Oryza sativa Japonica Group: one gene and its partner. Each later gene encodes a partner of the first gene's protein in a complex. Links are inferred from orthologs where the notes say so. Each region holds a gene or a part of one and is shown on either strand. Other genes may lie near its edges.

What was found. The genes of interacting proteins can lie anywhere in the genome.
Region 2: the proteins of monothiol glutaredoxin-S7, chloroplastic (region 1) and protein BOLA2 are in contact, whole or in part, in an NMR structure (PDB 2MMA), measured with the Arabidopsis thaliana proteins. The link is inferred for Oryza sativa Japonica Group from reciprocal best matches to the Arabidopsis thaliana genes CXIP1 and AT5G09830. Residues at the interface, in NP_191050.1 of Arabidopsis thaliana: Lys130, Ser133, Asn134, Trp135, Pro136, Thr137, Glu146, Phe147, Phe148, Asp152, Ile153, Glu156, Ala157, Thr160, Glu162, Glu165, Glu166; in NP_568217.1 of Arabidopsis thaliana: Arg46, Leu47, Leu48, Arg50, His51, Arg52, Asn55, Met62, Ile65, His66, Ala67, Leu68, Ser69, Ile70, Lys71, Gln74, Gln78.

The regions. Positions count from the first base shown.
Region 1 is NC_089037.1:36,807,770-36,811,740, forward strand, and holds monothiol glutaredoxin-S7, chloroplastic, read left to right. Parts: upstream 1-1,253; 5' UTR 1,254-1,328; coding exon 1,329-1,779; intron 1,780-3,049; coding exon 3,050-3,105; 3' UTR 3,106-3,461; downstream 3,462-3,971. Other genes in the region: elongation factor Tu, mitochondrial, read right to left, coding at 262-336, 438-530, 624-699, 825-1,015. UniProt on the Arabidopsis thaliana protein: May only reduce GSH-thiol disulfides, but not protein disulfides. Probably involved in the regulation of the redox state of the BOLA proteins. May act as Fe-S cluster donors to Fe-S cluster-requiring proteins.
Region 2 is NC_089035.1:38,153,139-38,155,720, reverse strand, and holds protein BOLA2, read left to right. Parts: upstream 1-1,276; 5' UTR 1,277-1,355; coding exon 1,356-1,418; intron 1,419-1,514; coding exon 1,515-1,537; intron 1,538-1,669; coding exon 1,670-1,868; 3' UTR 1,869-2,073; downstream 2,074-2,582. Other genes in the region: sm-like protein LSM3A, read left to right, coding at 296-376. UniProt on the Arabidopsis thaliana protein: May act either alone or in interaction with glutaredoxin as a redox-regulated transcriptional regulator, or as a factor regulating Fe-S cluster biogenesis. The GRXS17-BOLA2 heterodimer binds a labile, oxygen sensitive iron-sulfur cluster.

The DNA of each region.
Region 1 (3,971 bases):
GCACATTGAAACAGAGATGTCATTGGTCATTGCTCAATATTAAGGATTCTAGCAGTTCCGGGACAGTAACTCAGTAAGCCTGAGTATCAGAAGAGCCTACTGGATTTAATAATTAATATTGACAGCGCATACTACAAATGTGCTCAGCAATTTCATAATATCCAATGAATTAGTATTACATAATATCCATGGTTATTGTTCGTGAAGATTGTCAATATATAATCTTGATAACTTCCACTTTAGTAAAATAGAACTACTTACCTTGACATAATCAGCATGCCCTGGGCAGTCCACATGAGCATAATGCCTTTTAGCAGTCTCGTACTCCACATGAGCCTACACAACCACAACCACATAACTCAGACTTGATCTACACATGATGACATACAAGGACACCATCTGGTCCAAATGAAGAAAAAACTAGTGCTAAGGCTCACCGTTGCAATGGTGATTCCTCTTGCTTTCTCCTCCGGGGCCTTGTCGATCTCGTCAAAAGCAACAGCTTTAGCCTTCCCTGCCTCAGCTAACACCTGCAAAGAGCATAAAAAAGGCATTTCACGCGTTGAAATTGTTTGGACTCCAAAGAAAACAACTGAACTTGCACTATATGTGACAAATCAGACCTTGGTAATCGCAGCAGTGAGTGTGGTTTTGCCATGATCGACGTGCCCAATGGTGCCAACATTCACATGAGGCTTCCTGAGACAGATTCATACAACAAATTCAAAACACAAGTCACACACGGATCGATCGCTAGATGCTAACCACAGGAAGAGAGAAAACCAGGCGCGGAGAGCAACGGATCTGATCCAAGAAGGACTCACGTGCGGGTGAAGGTGGCCATGGACCTCGCCCACAGGGTTCCAGCCAGAGGCGGTGGCTGCTGGGGCGCCGCCGCCGCAGCCGCCGACGCATCCGGTAGCGCCGTGGGGCCCGAGATCACGGCGGCGCGGAGGGTGGGGTAGGAGAGGATGCGGCGGGCGCCATGGCTCCGGAGCACTGCGGCTGCGGCCATCGCGTTCGCGTTCGCGGCGGCGGCGGCGGCGGCGCTAGGTGAGAGGAGGAGAGAGACGGGTTTAGGGCTTTAGGAGTCGAATGGGGAGGAGAGGCGGCCACCTCGTAGCTGTAACTTGTAACCAACCCGTGGAGGCGCAAATGGGCCGTACGGCCCACTAGGGCCCATAGGCCCACTAGGGCCCATAGGCCCACTCCCAGTTTCTCCTCTGCCACAAGAAAGAAACACTGCGGAAATTACAGGTTTGCCCTCGTATCACCACAGCCACCAACTCTCCCTCTCCCTCGCCGCCGGCGCGCGAGCTTCACCAGCCATGGCCGCCACCGCCGCCGCCTCCGTAGCCGCGATTTCGCCTCTCCCCGGGGCATCCCTCCCGCGCCCCGTCTCCGCGAGGGTTCCTCTTCTCCCTAGGGCTTCCCCTCCCACATGGCGCCTCAGCGTCGGCTCGGCGCGCGCGCGGTCGACGCGGTGCCTTGCGGCGGCGGGGGGTGGCGGGCTGGCGCCGGAGATGAGGGCGACGCTGGACAAGGTGGTGGGGTCGCACAAGGTGGTGCTGTTCATGAAGGGGACCAAGGACTTCCCGCAGTGCGGATTCTCCCACACGGTGGTGCAGATACTCCGGTCGCTGGACGTGCCCTTCGAGACGCTCGACGTGCTCGCCAACGAGGCGCTCCGCCAGGGGCTCAAGGAGTACTCCAGCTGGCCCACCTTCCCGCAGCTCTACATCGACGGCGAGTTCTTCGGAGGATGCGACATCACCGTTGGTACGCACCCCGCCTCCCCGATTTGACCTGACATCACGCAAGCTCACTGTTAAGGAATTGAATCTTTTTAAGCAGCATTGATTTGTTATGAGAAGTTTGACATGCCAATTCACCTCTTCGATCCAACACATTGTGATTATCCCACTACGATTAGTCTAATGCTGAAGACATGCTGCGGCCCGCTTATCGTGTCTAGTCCATTAGAATCCTGTTAGAAACTTTTCAAGGGGACCAGACGTCCCTGTTGTTTACTGTGGTTCTGAATTTTGATGATTCCCTATCCTCATAGGCATAGTTCAGAGTATATAAATTTGAGAGAATTTATCAGAGTATATAAATTTTGAGAGAGAATTTTCATGGCATGAGATACTCGCAGTATCTGAAGATCTGATCATCTGAACGCTGGTTTTGCGTTAAATCAAGATATGCTACTTGTACTGGCCATAAAAGAGCAGCTTGTGAACCCTGATTCATATATATAACCCGAGACGTGGCTTTCACCCCTCTCATCATTACCAGTTAATCATCACCAATAGTGATGTATCCTAAGTATCCATGCCTAGTGGCGAACCGAGAACAAAAATTAACAGGGTCCAACATACTAATTACCTAATTGTTAACTGATATATTGATCAGCATGATATAATTTAGTTTAAATTACCAGAAGCTGCATGTAGGAGCGCCACTGTCTGTGCCACCATTGGTTATAATCTGGTTTAGTGTTCTTCACTGAACAACTAGCTTGTATAGGTCTGCTCCATGCAGTTTTCTGAGTGTTGCCACCTATATACTCAAGAACCTACTATAATGTAAGAAATAACTGTTAAAAAATATGTATACATCTTGCCCAGTAGTAGAAATTAAGGGAGTATTCACTTTAATGCAATTTTCAACCTTACCAAATTTTGGCAGGATTTCTTGTATAGTTACCAAAATTTGGCAGCAAACTAAATGTAGCCACTTTTTTAGCAACTTTACCAAAATTTGGTAAGGTTGAAAATGGCATCAAAGTGAACAGGCCCTAAGGTGGATGGTGCACTTGGCGACCAGCTGACCAGTGAGAACACAAATCCATGATGTAGCAAATCATCACTTAAAATGTTCATCATGGTAGTATATTTAGATACTTGACTTGAGTAAACCCAAATGAATAATTGACACACAAGATGTGAGGATGATTAATGTGTGTGTTCCCTACTGAATGTTTGATATGATCAGTGTTTCAGCAATTCAGCTGGATTTAATGTTTGCACTGTTTTATATTTTGCAGATGCATACAAAAGTGGAGAGCTGCAGGAAACACTAGAGAAAGCAATGTTATCTTAGTATAAACGTCGAAACACACCATAGAGTACATATAAATGGTATATGGTCCTTTACGATGTACTCTTCAGCCATGACAAAGAACTGGTGATGCTAAGATTGTCAACAGTTCAATTCATCAAGCAGTGAGGTCCAACTCGAACGTGCAATTGTACTCATGACTAATAAATTTTAATATTGATGACAAATACTTCCTGTTGCAACACTCGGATGTCACAGCTCTAAATGTCTGGATCTCTAAATGTCTGGATGGTATTCTCTTATAGAGCTGAGGCGATGATCTTGTACCTAAAAAGATCCAAAACTTGGAGCGAAATCTTTTGCCCAAGTAGTCCAATCTATTTGTTTTTCATCGCTCTTAAATGTACTACTCCTTAACTGATACTCCCTCCAGTTTGATATTAAGTGACGTTTTGGACAGGATTGCATATACCAATGACTTATTAATTAGTCACCATATTCCCTTGTTATACCCTTATTAAATACTCTCGGATACACATCAAATCAGGAATAACTTCTCCTCACTTGGTTAAAGCCACCATCCCAAAGCATATGGTTCCGTGTTCGAGCGCTTGTAGCGCTCGTTTTCATCCGATTTTGCATGGTATTGTAGCCGTGCATGCAGGATTTTTTTTATGTCATTTTCGCTCGCGCGCGCGCTGAAGTTTTGTAAGCTGATTTTTTCGCTCGTTCGTGCTTGGTATAGAAAATTTTTTGGTGCATCTTGCAGCTGGTTTTGAGCGTTTTGGCGCCTGCTGCCTCTTGCGCATATTCTCTGTGAACAAGACCACAACGAGAGCATGGCCTCCTACGCGCGCATCGGATCTTGTCAAGACCATTCTCGTGGACTCGGCCGCAGTGAACGCACA
Region 2 (2,582 bases), on another chromosome or scaffold:
ATGTGGATAATATGTTTGCTTTAACCCATGCACATGAGTTGTTTGGCTGCCACCTTGTGCGTGCCACTACACATCTATATTGTTGTGCACATTTTTTTCTCAAAGTACCTATGGTGCTTAGACTGCTGGGCATATAGTGCTTAACTGCTGGTTTAGTGTAACATAATTGCGGTTACATACTTTTTATTGGGAATAATCTGATGCTTTGGGACATATTTCTTACTGCTATATTCTGAAATTTCTGGTGAACATGTTGATGCTGTACTAACTATTGCTAAATCGTGTCTTTTTCCAGACCACAAAACGCACTATCCCCTTCCTTTTTGTTCGAGGTGATGGTGTCATTTTGGTTTCTCCACCCCTCCGAACGGCATGAAGTATGAAGGAAGCTCCTGCCGATTGTCAACCATGAGTAATGTGTATTTTTTAATCAATGGCATGTGTTATGTGCTGAAGTGCTACTATTTCTGATGGATTCTAGTTTTAGCATATGATACAATTGTGTAACAATTTCTGATCGAGGTGCTAGTTTCTACTGTCATGTTGAATCAACCTTTTGTTACCAGATTAATCAACTCAATCCCGAAGCACTAATATTTGTTGTGGTGATGTCTTGCGTAATTTTTGTAGATCCACATGCCAAGAACACCCTGTTCCAATCTCTATTAAAAAAGAGCCAGCAAGTTGTAACATTTTTACAGCGTATATGATTCACATCACAACACCCAGCCAAACAGGGAACGTATCACCGTCCCAAGACTTATCACAGCCAAACAGCCAAACAGCCACACGGCAGCGGTGTCTCCAGGGCTTGCAGAAAAGACACATTTTACATGATCATTTCATTAGCTACAAAAAGAGATCTATAAACTATTCACTGACCAGCAAAGTCAATCTTCATTCCAGCCATGCTTGAATTCGCCCCAAATCCTCACGCCCGGTCATGAAATTGTATCCATCTAAAGTTCTAAACAGCAAGCCAACAACACAAAAAGTACGACACAAAGTATTAGCCAAAAATATTCGAATTTCTTCGGGAAACATGAATGGATTTAACTAAATTTCACCACATAGAAAAGAATGAATTTAGCGAAAATTCACCACCATAGAAAAGAGAATGCCCGGGATCAAACCGAAGATTCGATTCCCAATCCAGCGGAGAGATTGGGAAGAACAAAAAACCTTTTCATGATTCCCAATCCACATCAAGTAGGAATATTTCTGGTAACTGAAAGAGGTCAAATAAAGGAGAGGGTGAAACGGCCGGCGCCATCCCAAGTCGTCTTCCTCCTTCGCTCAACCCGCAGAAGAACACAGATTCGAAGAGGCAGAGGCGGCGAAGAGACGCGCGAGCCATGGGCGTCACCAAGGAGGATGTCGAGGCCGCCATCACCTCCTCCCTCAGCCCTTCCAGCCTCGTGAGTCTCTCTTCCCTAAACCCTCGCCGCTTATCCATCATCCTTTTGCCGTTCTAAACCCTAACTGCCGCTTCTGCTTTGGTTCCACGGTTTCAGGTGGTGACGGATACTTCCGGCGGGTAATTCCTCACCCCCAAACTCCAATTGTTCTTCACCTTTGTATAGGAGTATTTAATTTGCTTGCTTCCATTGTTACGAACGAAAGAGAAGAGATCTTGTGTTTGGTGACTGGTTGATCGATTGGTGTGAAGGTGCGGCGCGAGCTACGAGATTGAGGTGGTGTCGGAGAAGTTCGAGGGGAAGCGGCTGCTGGAGCGGCACCGGATGGTGAACACCGCGCTGGCGCCGCACATGGCGGAGATCCACGCCGTCTCCATCAAGAAGGCGCTCACCCCTGCTCAGGCGCAGCCCCAGCCGGAGCCGGCCGCCGATAAGGCGCCCCAGGCTTAAGTAGTTCTTGAACTCACACCTCCAAACTGTTCGATCACATATGCACCACGAGTGAACCGATGCACTTGGTGTAGCGTTTGTCATGGGTGTTTGAGATGTGCGTCAGCTCTCTCTGCTTGAATAATGTGCATACAATGGCAGAATTGGAATGATACTATGCTTGACTGCTTAGAAATTTCAGTAACTTTGCGTGCTTCCCGCGTCATGTGCTTGGCAGTTGATCCTATTTCACAATTTTGCCAATAAATTGCCGTCTAGATAATGATCCTATTTCGCAACTTTGCCGATAAATTGTCATCTAGTTAATATTTAGTCCTAGGACTTGGATTGTTTTCCCCTCGAACTAGGTTGTTTGATTGTAGAGATAAAGTGCAGTTGCTTCATGATTGATCTAGTATTGTTTATTGCTGCTACTATAAGTTGACTGGCTCACAGCCTGACATAGTTGCTAGTATCTACTAGGGGTTCTATAATGCCACATTGTTTTACTTGAGCATTTAGTCTCTGTATTTTTGGTGAAGCCGACAAATATTAAGAATAAACTATTCTCACTGCTTGCTGGACCAATAAAACTGGATATGATCATACAATTGTGTTTGGTGCTAGGTGTATGATGGCTTTTAGTTTATGTGATAAGTAGTTCTCAGCTAGTTTGGGGACAATAAAGTGGTAACTAGTTTAAAATCATATCGTTGTGTTGTAAGTGCATTTGCT